2 linked regions of the Drosophila melanogaster genome follow. The protein of the gene in region 2 interacts with the protein of the main gene of each other region in a pairwise test. Each region holds a gene or a part of one and is shown on either strand. Other genes may lie near its edges. The genes, in order: Rilpl and CG2930.

Region 1 (9,490 bases), 2.5 Mb from region 2:
CTGGATTGCGGCGAGTGTGCACACGCACAGTGAACCCTCGCTGGCTGGCACCGCGGTATTTCCAGCGCTCTCATTTCGATGCAGTTAGCCGGTTAGGTGCATGCAATATACATACATATATATACACATGTATCATTGGGTAATCGAGACAAATAAGCATGTAGGACTGGTTGCACTCCGTCAGGTTCACTGCGTCGAATGAGTCCTGTGTCCCAGCCTAAAGCACAACTTGCGCAGTTGTCCATCTCCAGAATTCACTGTACTGGCTCTGTGGAAGTGCGGGAGTTTCGAGTGGGGCTGCCCCTTGCATCCAAATCCAAATCCAACGGAGCTTCTGCGGCGGCTGCTGCGAGCCTGTTCAAAAATCGACTGACTAAGGCCCCTGAAATCGTCGCACGGGGCCTCTGCAGAAACTCATTAAGCGCTTTTATCTCCGCTCCGTCTCTTAATTCTTTTCTTTCTGGCCAGCCCATGCCAGGCCAGGGCAATTAGTGGAAATTGTGGGGCCCACTCCCAGTGACCACAAAAACACAGGGGCCTTCTTCATTAGCTGCGCACATTTCGACCTACGATTTTCGCAGCGCATATCCTTCTATCCTATTACGCTAACATCTTCTTAATTAAAAAGCTGACAACGCCGTCTCCGGCCACCATGAACCCGCCCACGTCTCGCCGCCAAGTCCGGTGGCAGATTTTTAATTGCTTAATTGGAACTGCGTGAAAATCCCGTTGAGAATGGCCAGAACGCATCCCCGAACGAAGAGCCGCCACCACATCACCACCACCACCAACAAATCGCCTGTTGCTGGGCAATTAAAACGCCATCGCAGATGAGGGGCGGTGCTCAAGGTCGTCCAGCCGGAACAACCACCACGCCCTAGATACGCCTCAAACCCGGCATGGAGATCAGGCGCCCAGTAAACGGCAGAAGCGACCCAGCAAGGACTCGAGGACGGGGCACGAGATGCTGCTACGCACCGCACGAGATGCAGGATGCGGACGCGGATGCGCAGGGTTGACGATGCTGCAAGATGGCTTCGTGGCTTGGTAAGTGGGTGGCCCAGAGCCCCGGGGTAAAGCTCAGTCGAAAAGCTCGTGGCGAGAAAGCTCCAACCACCGCGATGGGTGGTCGGGCGCGGGGGAATCCCATGGGATGCACTGCCAGGTGTTACGCAATCAGCCTTGTTCGACATCCACCCCCTTTTCTTAGTACCAAAAGCACGATCGAAATACAACCCCACCGACTGTCCTTGTGCAAAGGATATCAGTAGCTAGAGGCTACAGGCTCGGGCGACATGGAAGCCAGAACTCCAATGACTAGAGCACCCCGAAATGTGTTTATGGGCAAATTGAAGTCGCTACTAACCTTTAAGGCTTGATATGAAATGTTATGATACGTGAAAATACTTGAACTTGAAGATGGTCTTCAAACATCCTTCGTTTCTGACGATGAAACACACGATGATGACAATGATCTTGAACTCTCTGCCGATCTCGACTTGTTTCTTACAATACCTTGGGAATAATTTTGAAAGCAATCGAAAATAAGCCAAATTAAAAACGAACTTATAAGTAATGTTAAATAATGAAATAAACACCTTAGGTTCCGCACAGCGAGTGCTCCACTTGCCGCCAACCCAAATCATTCATTCGAAATCCACTCCACGGTTCATAAGTTTATTTTGGTGGTCGCTCAAAGGAAGCCACTCATAAATTTGATGTACGTACAGGGGTGAGCAGATGATACCCGGATGCGGAGGCGTCGCCCTCTGATGCGGTTCACCATGATGCGATCCAATCCGATCCGATCCGATGCTCGCTATCGCTCTGGTCGCTCCTGCAGTCCATGGTCCAAGTGCCACCCTGGTACGCTTTGAATTTTGTATAATTGTTGCCTTGTTGCCTTTTTGGTTAGTCATAGTTCCATATAATACGGTATTACATAGTATATAGTAAAGTATATTATGTATAATGCATGTGTATATGTGTATATAAATTTAGTTAACATTAATTCACCAAATACTCAATTTCTCTCCATCTTCTTTTCGTGGTCTTCACCCACTCAACGTTAGTCCACTTTTTCATATCGATGCCATTGCGCGCTCGTGTTCAATTTTATAAAAGTTCAGTTGCCACTCTTTGTTGTGTTCGAAACGAGATGGGTTAATTGAGATTGGTAAGTCGGGTGTTGTGGGCTGGGTGTTCGGTGCGTGGTGTGGGTAGTGGGGGGGAGTTGCGAATAATGGGGGCATAGGGTCTGACCATTAGTCTTTGGCACGTTCGCATCGACGATAGCGATGGAGCTGATATGTAAACGGAGTTTCCTCGCTTTGTGCTTGTGAGTGGAAGGGGAGCGGGAAGTGACACCATATTGGTAATTGCACTACATGGGCGTCTCTCTCATGGATACTAGCTATGAACGAGGATCGGACTGAGATCTCCTCGAAATCACTGGGCTTCAAGTGGAGTGGGGGCTCTGGGCGAAGTCGTCTGGGTGCGGTAACAACAATTCGAGCTGGTCAGTGGCTAAGTCTATGGTAAAACTCTTGGCTAAAACATTCCTTGATTTAGACTGGCCGGCCGGCAATGGGGTAACGCGGAGATTTTCGCTTTTTGGCATCTTTGTGCAATCGAATGCTATCAATGGAATCTACTATGCTGAGATTGGTTTCGTTAGTTAGTTCAATTCAAGTCAACAAACAATGCGCTAAGGTTGTAACGTTTGCTAATTATATATCAATTATATATACTTTTAGGTTTCTTTCGCTCTAAGGTTTGCGTATTTTGATAAATTTGTAATATATTTATAAGGCCGCTTGGGGCAACTGCTATGAGAGTGCTAAAATACTCATACGGGCTGGCGATAGCCGAAGATCTAGATAGATGCAGGGGTCTTAGGGACAGTTACACTACGGATAATTGAAGCAAAATCTTCCCGTTCTACCTAGACTTTCTAAAATCTGGGGTCCCAGAACCAGAGTCCTCCTCGTCTCGTCTCCTCATCTCACCGAATCGTTTTCTCTGCATCTGCACCTGGGAGGACTGTTTGTCTTTCTAAGCTTGTTTTTGTCTAAATTCATTAAAAACTCACTCGGCAATCTTTGCACAATCTCGATATCGTTTTCGTTCTCGTTTTCGTTCTCGATCTTGATTTTTGAAACACGTGCACATGTGGGGGCTGTGGTATGTTTGGAGTCTTATGTGGTAGTCGTTAATCAAGTTAGAATAAATCGAAGGTACGAAAAATACAAAGTGGATTCGTATTAAATATATCCAGTACAGTTAGGGGTTACGAGTTACGAATAAAACGCGTATTACGTAAACAAAATTGCATAACAACTTAGAATTATGAGGGCACAGCAATCGAGTGTGTAAACTATGTATGTACAGCTCAGGCGGAGCAGGTGAATGGCGAGGGACAGGGTCAGATACAGGCTGTTGCCTAAACTAAATGTAAACGTAATCGTAAGACGTAAAAGTAAAAAATAAATAATAAATTAGGATGCAAGATGCAGGGGTGCGGGGGGCAGTGCAAACGGAACGGAACGGAATGGAACGGAAACGGAAAAACAGAAAACAAACGAAAAGTGAAATGCACGCCAACTCGGATGCTTTAAGGGGCGCTTACTTCGCCGCTGCGGAGGCGGAAACGGAACCGGGCGTGGCCGACAGCGCCATCTTGGAGAGCGTGGCCAAGGAACGTTTCGGGAACGTGTTGCTGCCGTCCGACGGGTCCGAGAACAGCTTCCGGAAGCTACAATGCAGAAAGTGAATCGAGAGCTCTACGCCGATTGAATGCCACTTACAATTTGCGTATTCCCGACTCGGAGCTCTTCTTCCAGGGCGCATCGTCCGGCTCGTAGGGCAAAGGGCCCTGCACGGGCGCATCGTGTCCAGGTGGCCTGAAAAGCGATGCACTATGTATGTACTTAAGTAATCATAACTAGGGATAGTAATTAGCTATAAAAACTCAAAAATAATCAACATATAGATCCGAATCCAACGATTTGTTTGACTCCCAATTGTGCCATTTACCAGTTACCTGCTGACCTTGCGAAAAAACACGCAAATATATACGTTTAAGCTCTGAATCACCTGCCAATTAAACGTTTGCATCATAGGGTCTATTTGAATATTGTTAGCACTGAGCAACAACAAAAGAATGACTCAGGCTGAAAATGCTTGTTCGTTAATCACTTTGACTCAAGCGGTCGTTCATAAATTCTTGTTTTCTCTGGTGAGGGACCACAAAACTAAAGGATGTAACAGAAATGGGCTCACTCACGTTTCTCCGGCCGCTGGTGGCTCCAGCTCGTTCGCCTCGGCAGCCGCCTCCTCCTCGTCGTCGTCATCATCGTTGTCCGCCACGTGACCATCGTCGTCCTCATCGCTATCGTCGGAGCTGGAGAAGTGACGCTGCCGCTTGCCCTTCGCCTGGCTTGGTGGCTTCAGCTCCGCCAGCTGCTCGTTGAGGGTGTCGATGGTGGTCAGCAGCTCATCGCGCTCGCTAATCAACTCTTTCAGCTCGCGCGTGGTGTACCGCGGCCGGTTGGGATCGTTCTGGCCATCGTCGTACGAGGCCACCAAATCCTCATTCTCCTTTTCGGCCAGGCCCAATCGCTTGCGCAGTTGGTTGATCTCCCGGCTCTGGTCCTGCAGCTGGGCAAGAAAGTCGGCGCGCTCCTCGCACAGCGTCTTCACTTGGGCCTGCATCAGCTTGTGGCGGCGCCGGGTATCTCGCTCTGATGCCTTCAGACGCTCCGCCTGGATATTGAGCTGGGAAGGGTTAGTTAAGAATACGTTAGCTGGGAATATGAGCACCTATCCTTAAGGACACTCACGTGCTCCAGCTCGCTGTACTTGTCCTGCAGCTCACGCTCGCGGTGCTTCAACTCGTCGCGCTGCTTGTATATCTGCTCCTTCAGCCGTTGCAGCACTTGAGTATCCGAAAGAGCGCTGTGCAGCTCGTGGTTGGTCATGCTGATAATGCTCTCGGTGAGACTGGCCCCCAGGCCGGAGCTCTGGGCGGACGATGACTGCAGATCCTGAGTCTGCTTTACCAGCCGCTTGTTCTCGTCTTGCAGCGAGGAGACGAGATCGACCAGCTCGTTGGTCTCGCTGCGCCACTGCTCTTCGATCAGCTCCAGCTCCTTGTCGAACCGCCGCCGGAACTCGGCCTTCTCCAGCTTCTCGCTCTCCAGCTGGGCCACCTTATCGCGCAGCTCCTGGATGGTGGCGTTCTCGCGCTCGTTCTTCGTGGCCAGCGCCTCCAACAGCTCCAGGGTGTTGATGATCTTGGGCATCAGCCCGCTGACGGCGTCCGTGCCGAAGCGGTCCATGATCCGCTCGTACTCCTTGCCAATGTCGGAGGCCAAGTCGTACACATCGACCACGCCGATGTCGTCGATGGCGTCCAGGACCATTTCACCCATCTCATTGAGGTGAAAGCCGGGCATCCAGGTGGTCGCTCAGATAATCTGTGACTCCTGCCAAGCGCTGTATCACTTGTTTACTTGCTCACACTTGCTCACTGGACTCTGTGTTCACTGAAGACCAGCTTCAGTTGTCGCCTCTTTCCACGGTGTCCTGCTCCTCGGAGTTGCTTCGGGAATCGCTGCACCAGCTGACAGGGATTTTTCTTTCGCTAGCAGGACAAGTGTGCGTGTGCGTGTACGTGCGCCAGGTGTTGGTTTTCCAAGTGCTTTAAGGGAGGGGGGGAATCCGCAATCCGAAGTACGGAATTCGCACTTCGCAATTCACAGTTGGCGCACACAGACTGCACAGTAGTGTGCGTGGGAGTGGCAGTGCTCACTTCATTCACTCTAGTTGTTACTGCCGCCGAGTCGCTTTTCGCTGCCGATTCCCACATAAACAATCCGACTTTCCGCAATTTATTTGCACAATTTTTGCTGAACCGAACTGGAACTGATGAGTAACGAATAACTGGTTCGCGGGCGCCCATATGTGCGAACCAGTTCCCAGATGAGCAGTCGGTTGCGCAGTCTGGTAGCGCTTTGTGCTGGCTGGTCAGTGTTGGGCAACGCCAATTCGTTTGGCGCCAAATGAAGAGCAGCTTAAGCGAGCAAAATGAGCGTAAGTGCCAAAATGTTAAGCCTTAAACGAAATTTTACTATCCAAAAGTCAACAGGCTGGGCCACAAAGTAAATTCATTGTTTTATTAATAAGTTCTTGTTTACAAAATTGTATAAATAGTTTTGTTTTCTTGGTTTTCAGTTTCGTTTGGTGTGTGCTTCCTTGTAAATTGTGGTTACTGGGTCTGGATAGGCAATTAATTGTATTTTACACGTACAGTAGCACTAACACTAACTAAATGGTTTGTGTGCCACATTTACACAGTTATGCAGCGGCGACTAGCAAGTTTCTTCTCTTTACACCATTTCAAATCATTGGTTTGGTTTCACTGGTTCATTAAGTACATAAATTAGCTACAGTTCCTTCAATGCTTTCCTCGGGGGAACAATCTAAGCGATATAAAAAAATAATACACAAGTTCTCGGCTAGGCGTAACAATTTCGATTTCTTTTCTGTAGCTCTTTCGTTCTTCACTTTTGACTTTAGGGACTAGATTAGGAACCACATTTGTACATTTCATTTTCATGCGTTCTTAGCTGCTCGATCTCTAATTAAGTAAGTAAGTAAGGTCTAGTTTTGTAAAGTAAATGTACATTCAAGATAGTCACCTTCTTCTTCTTATTCTTTTTGGTAGCAGCTCGTAGGAAAACTTAAAAATAAACACGTTACATGTATAGAAAAAAAAAGGCAATAAAAAAATAGGCGACGCAAGACATTTTAAAATGAGATGAATCGCTATGTTTCAGTTAGGCTGGCAAATAAATAGTGGGTCGCGAGTGGTTATGACCGGTTATTTCAGCAGGTCCTTTGGCAAGCATTTTCGATGGCAAGGCCCCAATCTTGGTTTCTGTTTTGGCACTCAAACTGGGCGTAAATAAATATATATGGTAAAATTAATGTTACAAAGTGGTTGCGTCAATCCATGGTAGCAAGTATAAAATTAGCAAACTAGACAAAATACTAGCACCCCTCCTGGGGATCCTGATTCTGCTGCAGGGCCAGCTGCCTCAGGAGCTCGGAGGTGACTTCCTGGCGCTTCGAGCGCTTCGCTGGCGGCGGAGAGGAGTGGGGCGGTGTATCTGGCGACGACAGGCCGCCCACCACGCCAACATCCCTGACCAAGGCATCCTGTGAGTCATCTTCGTCTACATCGTCTTCCTCGTCTTCGTCGGGTAGCGTCAGGTCCGTTATGGCCTGGTCACGGTTCTCGCCATCGTCCTCCGACTGCTCGTCCTCCCTAGACCGCCCATCATCTATGTCCACTATCGAGATGATGTCGCTGTCGCTTTCGCTTTCGCCCGCAGGACCCCCGACTAGTTCGAACCGCCCCTTGGCTGCGGACTAGCTGGTGCTGGCCTGCGTCTGCAACACATTGGCGGAAGCGGACGATGAGGCACTAGCGGCGGTCACGGCGACGGGCGAGAGCACACTGGCTCCAGGGAAGTGGCACGGGCACGCAGGATTGGGCATGTGATTCGCCTGACTGTTCAGCTTGCGGGTGAGCGTCTGCCAGTATTCGATTTGGGCGTTGATCAGGTCGATTTTCCGCTTGCTCTCCTCGATCCTCAGCGAATTCATCAGCTCCTGGTGCTGGCTCCTCGTCCCACCGCTGCCACTTCCTCCGCTGCCCGACGTGTGTGCCCCGCCGATCCCCAGGCCCACGCCGCTGTTGTTGGCACTGCTCCCGCCGCTTCCGGCTCCGGATCCGCTGCTGTTCAAGGCGCTGCACACTGTGCCCGCCACTGCCAGTCCGTTGTACCCGTTGAAACTGCCCGCCGCCCCGATGGCCACGCCTCCTGTCTTGTCCCGCGCCAAATGGTTGTGCGTCATCTGTGCGTGGTGGCCGCCGTTGAGCAACAGTTGCACTCCATTGGAGGCCACCGCGGAATTGCTTGTGCTGCCGGCAGTGTGGTGGCTATTGTTGATGTTTCCGCGCTGAAGGCGTGGCAACTGCAGAGTGGGAGGGGTGCGGCGGCTGCTAATGGCGACCGATGAAGATGGAGCGGCGGACCCATAGGCGGCATTGATGGCCGCCTGCAGAGACTGAGCCGGATTCACGGCGGACAATCCTAGGCCGTTCAGCAGCGTGTGCTGCTGCACTTGCTCCGCTGTGAGCGGCAGCACTCCACTGGCACTGGAGCCGCCATTGCTGGCCGCTGATAGGACAGCTCCTGTGCCGGAGCCGCCGTTCTGCAGCGTCTTGTTGATGTTGGCAAAGCTGCCCACGCGTATGTGGCCCACGGTCTGGATAGTGATGTCCGGTTTGGGCGCTGATGCGTAGCTCCCGCTGGAACTAATCGAGGTCTTCGTGGAGCACACGGGCGAGCTTGCGGCGCGGCGACTGGTTTCGGTAATCCCGTTGCTAGACATGTTTCCGGGAAGGGAGCCTCCGGAGACACCACCGCCGGCGGCTCCGGACGATCCCACCTGCTGCAGCTGGCGCACGTCCGTTGGAAAGAGCACGTCGTCCTCCTCCTCGAGGCACACCTCCGGCGCCTTGTGGCTCAAGCAGTCGTCGTCATCGTCCTCGTCCAGGCAGTCCATGCCATTGTCCGTCTGCTCGTTGTCGCTAATTGTCTCCGACTTGATAAGGATCACGTCCGTGTCCATGCCCTCGTGGTAGTGGGGCATCTGCAAGTGTGAGGAAAATAAATGATACTGAAACCATCATGGACAGCGTTTTAGTAGGATTCACAGGGTTCAGAGAGTCAAGAAAGTAGAAAGCTATTCATCTGGATTAGTGGGTTAGATGAAGTGCACCACGTTCACCAAGTGGACCAAGTGACTTGAGTCTTGAGACTTAAGCACCGGATGGGACACTTATGCACAGATCTGAATTTTAAGCCCACCTTGGAGTCGTCGTAGTCGTCCGATTGGTGTCCGTTTCCGCCTCCGTTGCCCGCGCCGCCTTGCTTACCGCCGCCGCCGCCACCGCCCGCGCCCTCCGGCGACAGCTGCTCGGCAATGTACTGGGCCACGGACTCCTGGTGCGACAGCGTGTTGAGCAGGTCCATGAACGAATGGTTGCTCTTGTCCTCGCCGCATAGGTCCTTTTTGAGCAGCAGCTTCATGTTCTTGTAAAGCTGGCGCAGCTGCTTGGCGCTGCGCTGGTGGTAGACCCGCGAGTTGAACTCCTTGGCGATCTGCAGCCACACCTCGTCCTTCTTGCGGTTGGACTCCGCGTCCGTGCGCTTGTTCTCGATCACATCCTTGTACTGCGCCGCGTAGCTCAACACCATGTTCCGCTCCCGCTGCGTGTACCGGGGAGTCTTCTCCATTTTCAACCGTTTGCAAGACGTCGTGAAGCTGGGGGAGAAAGTAATGCACACTGTGTTATTCTCTGGAGCTTTGCATGGGCCTTCTATCCCTTCTATCGGCAGCGAAGAGGGCCGAAGTG
Region 2 (8,088 bases):
ACTGGCGGTAATAAACAAGTTGAGCGCTGGATAAATGTAAAGGCAATGGTCAGTAACATTTAATATAACTTATTTAACACTCAACTTAGCGTATTAAAACAATTCAAAGGATGATGGCGGATATTAAAAAGTCTTTGTTCTGCCATATTTGGGGGATATTTATTTCGAATCGTAAAAGAACTGCACATAAGGATATAATAAGCGGACAGATTCAAATGACAATCAGGCATCCGTATTCCTAGTCCCTCTTGAATCGGTCGAGATCCTGCCATTTCCGTTCCCGTCTGGCCCTTACCCTCTCCGCCAGAGCAGCCACCTCATCATATGGCTTATAGTAGTAGGCCACGAACATGAAGACCAGCATGTCGACAAACATGAGGCCAGCGAACAGGAAGAACTCGCTGGCTTGCGAGTCGAAGAACTTGAGTTCCGCCACAACCACGACGATAACGTTGCCGAAGGCCACTGTTAGCAGCCAGCAGGCCTGCAGGACACTTTTCATGCTGGGCGGCGACTGGGAATAGGAGAACTCCAGTCCCGTCACCGAGAACATCACCTCACCGAGGGTCATTACCACGTACTGCGGCACCAGCCAGAGCATGTGCATCGAATTGGGGCTGGTTACCTCTATGATTCGCGATACGAATGTTCCGTGACTCTGGCCGATCAGCAGGGCGTAAACGCCCCCAGCGCGTAACTCTATGCTGGTAAGATTGTGATCCGCCACCTGAACGTTGTAACCGCCCGTACTTAGCTCGTAGAGATCATGATTGCGGGCGGGCAAATCCAGGGCCACCGTATCCCCTGAATCCTCCCGCCAAACGACACGCGTGGTGGCCAAGAGATTCGCCAAGTTTCGCACAAAAGCCCACGAGCGATTCGACTTCTGCACCTCGTCCTCGTACCAAAACTTAGTGATGGCGTGCGAAGGTCGCAGGAACAGTGAGTGGGCGGTGGCCTCATACAACTGCTGTGTTCCGCCCTCCAGGATTGCGCAACCTAAGGGGTACACCATTCAGAATAAAGTACAAATTGTGGTAGAATACCCATTTCAACTATACTACCCATACCCAATTCAAAATACTACCCAAAAAAGTTACTAGTAATTACTACTAATGGCTTATCAGCCATTCTAAGATACTCTCAAACATCCGAAAACCTTGTGACCACTGAAGTGATTCTATTTGTGTTGACAGCTTAACGCTCCAAAGAGGATGGTGGGCTTTAAACATATTCACGAGTTCTTACATCAACAAGTTCTCTTGAATAGGAGGATCGCGATAACGTGGTAACATACCTTCAGTTAAACTTTCCACGGTGTATGTTAACTGGAAGATGCCGTCGGTGTTCGTGGCCACGCTACCCGAATAGTAGAAGTCCAGCCCCCTTAAGGTGAAGCTCTCCCGGGCTCCGAGGTTCGTACTAAAGCGATAATCGCAGTCGGGAATACCGCTGAAGACGCGTAGCTGGGTATTACCACTGCTCGGGATCAATGGGTAAGTGTGCTGCAAGGGTGGAAGATATACGTGCAAGCTGGTACTAATATATTAGATCGGAGCAATACCAGAAATCTCCGGAATGATATCGTATAAGACTATCATACTGAGTAAAATCCAGGTCATAGGTGAAAAGAAACAATTAAGAGTATTAAAGCAGATAGAGAGACAACAAGAATAGTAACAACGACGGATTATATTATTAATTTTCTTTTATTAGATTAACTAGTTGGATGTCTTTTCATATGCAACAATGCCCGGTCGCAGCTTCACTTACACTTAGCTTGGAAATGGACAAAGGCCACTAAGGATTTACATACATATACACATCTACAAGTACAAATATATATATATATAATACACAACGCGGGAGCAAGCAGGACGAATCGGTTTGAGGTCTACTCGTTGATGTCCTTGCCCTTGTTCTCGACTCCGCCTTCGAGAGCGGGAATCTCTGTTTTGGCATCACCCGCCGTCAGGGGCTGGGCCTCCTCCACCTTGTTCGGATCGTTGGGCACATAGTAGTAGGCCATCACCATGAAGATCAACATGTCGGCGAACATGAGGCCGGCGAACAGGAAGAACTCGCTGGCCTGCGATTCGAATAAGGCGGCCTCGGCGATGACGACCACAATGACGTTGCCGAAGGCCACCGTTAGCAGCCAACAGGCCTGCAGGACACTCTTCATGCTGGGTGGTGCCTGGGCGTATGAGAACTCCAGTCCCGTCACCGAGAACATCACCTCGCCGAGGGTCATCACCACGTACTGCGGCACCAGCCAAAGGATCTTTACCGAGTTGGGGCTCGTCACTTCCTCCAAATTGGCCTCGTAAATGTTGTTGTTATCTTTAATCAGGAGTGTGTACACGCCGCCGGTGTGAACATCGAATGTTCCGACGTTCCTTTCGCCCACCATGACTACATACTCCGCCGAATTCACACGCGTGAGCAACGTTTTGCTAGCCAGGTCGTCATAGACCACCTCTCCCGTGCTAGCCTTTTCCCAACGAATTGACAGCTCCTGCGGCACATTAGCGACGTTTCGGATCAGCGGATGGCTCTGGCTCGGCTTGTCCACAAAATCCTCCTCCCAGTAGTATCCACTACCATTTAGCGGATTGAGGAACAGAGACCAAGCCGTATTATCAGTAAGGACTTTAGGTATTTTGTCAGCGCTAATGGTACAAGCTTCACTTGCACTGCTGAGCGAGAACTCCACGTCCAGCGAACCGGGTGCGTAAATATCCTTGTTGGTATAGGCATTCAACGAGGTCACCGTCACATTTTCCGCTCCCGGAATGTTCGAAGTGAAGAAGTAGTCGCAGTTGTCCGCGTTGAAGATGCGCAGTTGGATGTTCTGGCTGTAGGGCAGGTCGGGATAGGTTTTCTAACGACAGCAAGGCGTGCAACGAAAGAAAAACGGAAAGTGCAGGTGCAGGTACAGTACAATACAATATATATAAGCACAGCAGTTAAAAATACTTTAAAACTTCCCAATTAAATACTTTCAGAGCTTTAAGTCCCAAGCCAACAAGCATTTTCGAACAATTACTCACCTCCAAGCTAAGCTCCACCACTCCGGAAATGATGAAAGCAATGCCCGCAAGGATGCCGCCCATGGTGAGTTTCTGCAGCGGTCGTCGGATACCCACTAGTTTCAGGGCCGGATAGAGGGCCACATCGTACAACGGTATAAAGATTAGGATGAGCAGAGGATTGAGCACTTGCAACTGGTCGGGCTTGATGTCCCAGGAGCCCATGTCGCCGTCCATTCGGGTGGCCTGGAAGGTCCAACGGGAGCCCTGCTGATCAAACAGTGCCCAGAAGACCGGAAGTGGCAGGTAGAGGAAGAGGACTCGCATAAGGACCTTTACATCGTCAATCAACTGGCGGTCGTACTTTTTATCGGCATAGTCCAGCCAGTGCTCCCGCGGATTGGTCTTTTTCTCCTTACATTTGGTGGTCAGGGCTGTCCAGATGGTACTGCTCACAAGCACCACCATATTTCCGGCCGGTGGCTTCATCTTGTACAGGGATCGTCCCAAAACGAAGATGATCACCGACACAATCATAAGTACGGCCGGTACTCCAAAGGCCAATGGATAGCAGTTAATGTCGTCAAAGCAGGACACGTCCTCGCGCAATATTGGAGTCACCGTGGTGGAGATCAGCGATCCGGCATTGATCGAAAAGTAAAAGAGCGAGAAGAACGAAGTGATCTGCTTCACCTGCTCCGGCACCTTAAACTGATCGCCACCGAATGCCGACACACACGGCTTAATGCCGCCTGAACCAAGGGCAATTAACGCCAGGCCCAACATCGTAAACGTTTCCATGGGCAGGTTAAGTGGTCCAATGGCACCTAGGGTCAGCAGCACCGATCCGCATATATAAACCAGCGATAAATACAGGATAGTCTTGAATTTTCCCAGCCAAGAGTCCGAAATGATGGCTCCAAAAACGCACAGGAAGTACACGAACATGGTGAAGATATGGAAGACCACGGTGGCGGTATCATCAGAATAGCCCAGAACTCGACTCAGATACAGAACCAAAACAGCTGAATGGAGTACGAGCGATTAGCAGAGATTTCATTGTAAGATACTTTGCGATTAACTTACTCCTCATGCCGTAATAGTTGAAACGTTCGCAGAATTCGTTACTGATGATGAAGAACACGGACTTGGGGTAGGGCAGTTTCTGTGGGTGTCAATGAAAAGGTAAGTACAGTGTTTGCTTCAATACTTGTTAAAGAGCACCAATGACGATTACCTTCTGCTGACCCTCAGTCTCGGAGACGTTCTTGAAGTCATTGGTCTCTGCCAGTTCCTTGCCATTCTGGTCGGGCTCCTTGTCATTCTGGTCGGGCTCCTTGCCATTCTTTTTAGCGATCTCGGGCAGCTTCTTGGCCTCCGCCGTGCCGTTGCTCTCGCCGGACGGTTGACTCTCTGCAGGGGCTGCAATCGGGGTAGTGTCTTCAACGGTCGCAACACTCGGGGTGACTTCTTCTGCAGCGGCAGCACTTGGACCGGAGCCATCGGGACTTGCAGGAGCTATTTCGGCCGCGGGAGAAGGCTCTGGTTCAGCCACAGGCTCAGCCGCTGGCTGTATTTCTGCGGACGAAAGAAGGATCCAGGTTAGTAATTCGAAATGCAATAATCGAAAACTTGGAGAGCCCACCCAGCAGGGGTACTTGCTCCGCCGGCAGCTCCATTTCATATGGCCACTGAGATTCGTTAGTGATCTGAGGATCGGCGACATTTCATCAGAAACCGAAACCGAGACTTGTGGCCTTGTGCTTGACACCTCCGCCACAGATAAGGACTGTTCTATATTTGAACGGGCCTTTACTTCAACGGCGGGCGTGTGAATTCGGTGGCCCGGCATAAATTATCCAGCCTTAGGCCCCGAGCTTTTACGAGGTTTACGCCAGTGGCGGGCGTCAGATAACCCAGCTAGGGAAGATAGCTCTCTCGGCGATCGCCTCCACACTTTGACAAACTGGCTGGGAGTATGGCTTTCCACGCCATAAACAACATGCTGATTACTGACAATGCTGCGTCTAAATGTCTGCTGGAGCTTTAATGGTCATGTCCATGTGGATCGAATGGTAATTGCAGCTGGTGCCTAGTGCAGCTAGTCATGGTCATGGCCATGTTCGGACAACTGGATCTGTATCTGTTCGATGGTTGATGATTCAGGAAGCGAACTGCGAACTGCGAAAGTCCCGAATGGCGACCAATGAATGGGCCTTATCTAACTGCGATCCAGAATCGGTTCGCAGCTAATCCATCGATGCTTTATCAGCGTTTATGACCGCTATTTGAGGCAGTAATGTATAGCAGCCATCACATGGCTCCATAAACCGTGGAAACAATGCTATTGCACGCACTACACTTCACATCAAACATCCATTAACATAAAGCGCCTTATCGCAGGGAAACAGAGATATACAAAATATACAAGTACCAGACGTGTACAGCATTGACCCGCTTCGGTGGCCGTTTGAAGTTGGTAGACCAGGCCTGCCACTCACATTCACACTCAAAACCACTCATTCATTCATTCATTTTGCAGCCGCTAATAGCGTAGTGTTTAGTGCCAGGGAACTGGCCAAGTGTCACCGAAGGACGGAAAATTGATCTCCAGACGGATCTCCACTCAATCCACTCGATTGGGCTCCATAAAAGCCGTAGACCAATCGGAGTCGCTGATACTCCGTAATTTTCAACAAGCTAATTGAAAAATGAGTACACTGAGGGCTTTACCTATAAATAATTAGATAAGCCTGGTATGCCCTGAGTGCAGTTGTAAAGTTTCGGAGGGAAAGTGCTGTGAAAGTGTTCTCAATTTCACTTTCTCAAGATTTCTTTACTTAAGCTCTAAGAGCCCTGGGACCTATAGATTGATTGATTGATTGATTGATTGATAGGTGGTTAGGATGTGCGTTGAACTATCGCTAACTGTGATATGCAGAGAAATTCTTCTGGAATTCGAGAACGGATGAACATAATTGGATTGGCTATATATAGTAGTGAGTGATTCTTTAATGACATTGCATATCGGCATTGATATCGCATAATCGTCGGTTTGTTCATCGATTGGCCATCAAATAGGTTGTAAATTTCACACCTACCCAATAACATACATAATCGCCATGAAGAGGGTCTAAAAGCATTCCAACTGATTTACAAGCGATTAGAACGAGCGCGATGTTTATTGGTCCAGCGAAATGATAAGCGCCGCAGGAGCTGGCGCTTTGGCCCAGTTTTAATTACAATTGCTTTTTACGGCGGCAAAGAAACAGAATTATTCAATGGAAGTTGTCAGATAGATAAGTTCGATGTTTTCGGTAGTGAGCAAAACTTTGATTGTCTTGTTCCGTTCGAAGCGGCAATTACGACCCCATATCGGCACCGCCCCATCCAATTCGACCGGGTTCTGCTCCGCATGGAGCAACCAAATACGAAATGGCAAATTCCAGGCGAACTACTCACTCACTAATTGCAAGCGGTTGCATTTACTACAGGCTCTCCCAGCGATTTGTCAGCAAGTGGTGTGTGTGTGTGTGTGTTTGGTATACCAAACGAAATCGTAATCGCAATTTTAGCCGCATTTGTTTTAAACACCCGCATTGGCAGTTTGCCTACGAATATGCAAATGAAGCCGGCGTCTGACATTGAAATGCAGGCGCACACAGTTGTACAAATTGGAAAATTTGCATCGGTGTAGGCAAGTCGAGTTATTTATTTTTTGAGATTTGAATAGGCAAGTATATAGGCAAGGTTGGTCCGTGCCAATTGACCAAGTTTGGCAGCTCTTTTTTGGGGACCGTCGAAAGTAAATCCACATTTGGACCTGCTCGTTGCTTGTGTTGGAGCCGCTCAAGTGGCTAAAACCCGGGGCCAGTCACTCAAAGTCCCTTATCAGAGCGATTAGATTTGCAAACTGCACACGCGGCCAAGAGAACCGATTATCGTAGTTGCGAACCTGGAGTTCTGAAAATCGTTCGTCCGTTGAGTCATAACTGGCAAGTGGAGATGTATTCCGCCAATTCTTATAACTTGCACGTTACCCAACGGCCACTGATTAAAACTGAAGGGTGAGGAGTATCGAAGTAAATAGGTGCAATAAACTAAATAAGAACACTATTGCAATCTATGGTGAGGTGTATTTTGTGTGGCTTATATAGCATGTCTAGAAATCGAAACAATGAGTAAAACTCGAGCCTCACAAAAATATGGGCCATAAATCTCGGTTCAGTAGTCTGTATAATCGCCACCCCTCTGTAAAAACTATAATTATGCATCTGTGGTTATTTTTAGTAATTAACAATACCATTTTTTTTATCCGTCATGTTGGGAACCCGGAGATCGCTTCACATCCGTTACGCGTCACTTGAAATCGAAGAAAAATATTAAATTTACTTTAAAAATCATTACGTTGTAGGAATGTGCATATGTATAAGATGCATAAACTCAACTTTCTTTTAATTTAACGAAAAATATATGCACATATATGTATATTACGTGTAAATTTTGTTTATTTTTTTCCAATAAGAGACAAAAGAGACAATAAAAGCAAAAAAGTACTGATCCTCGTCTGGAGTTCAATAAGCCCACAAATTGGCTATATTTAAGGGAAATTTCCAATTGCCACTGCGAAATAATTAATTAAACCAACAATATCGCAAATATATCTCATTCAGATTATTAATAGTTTTAATTGATTTTCTGTGTTGCAAATTGATTTTCAAACTGTATAAAAAAAGGAAGCTCTTTCTCTGGTAACTTTATCCTATTTTGCTGCATTGGCCTTTAAAAGGATTTTATTGTTTCGTAAGATCTTTTCATAATATAGACATCAGTGTTTTGATATTGCTTTTATTGTCTCTGGCGAAGCTTTCGGATCGTTATTGCTTTTATTGTTCCATTGCATTCGCGCACTCGTAACTCACATTAAAACATTTAACAACTGCAAAAAAAAAAAAATTGGAACGCACGTCGTTTCGGATGGGATCGGTTTTGAATCGGTTATGAATCGAGCAGGATTGAGCGACCACGTCCGCAAGCGGCGATCAACAGCCTCAGA

Evidence for each region.
Region 1: the proteins of CG2930 (region 2) and Rilpl interact in a two-hybrid assay, tested with the Drosophila melanogaster proteins (one large-scale study listed by BioGRID).

Annotation. Positions count from the first base shown.
Region 1 is NC_004354.4:1,389,510-1,398,999, reverse strand, and holds Rilpl (Rab interacting lysosomal protein like), read right to left. Parts: upstream 5,947-9,490; 5' UTR 5,457-5,946; coding exon 4,842-5,456; intron 4,777-4,841; coding exon 4,286-4,776; intron 3,918-4,285; coding exon of another isoform or gene 3,903-3,917; coding exon 3,807-3,902; intron 3,755-3,806; coding exon 3,629-3,754; coding exon of another isoform or gene 3,625-3,628; exon of another isoform or gene 3,448-3,624; coding exon 3,315-3,447; 3' UTR 1,663-3,314; downstream 1-1,662. Other genes in the region: CG32813 (uncharacterized protein), read right to left, coding at 7,435-8,751, 8,943-9,371. UniProt on the Drosophila melanogaster protein: May have a role in lysosome distribution by interacting with Arl8.
Region 2 is NC_004354.4:3,872,424-3,880,511, reverse strand, and holds CG2930 (uncharacterized protein), read right to left. Parts: upstream 4,747-8,088; 5' UTR 4,712-4,746; coding exon 4,678-4,711; intron 4,611-4,677; coding exon 4,270-4,610; intron 4,198-4,269; coding exon 4,119-4,197; intron 4,058-4,118; coding exon 3,054-4,057; intron 2,885-3,053; coding exon 1,895-2,884; 3' UTR 1,695-1,894; downstream 1-1,694.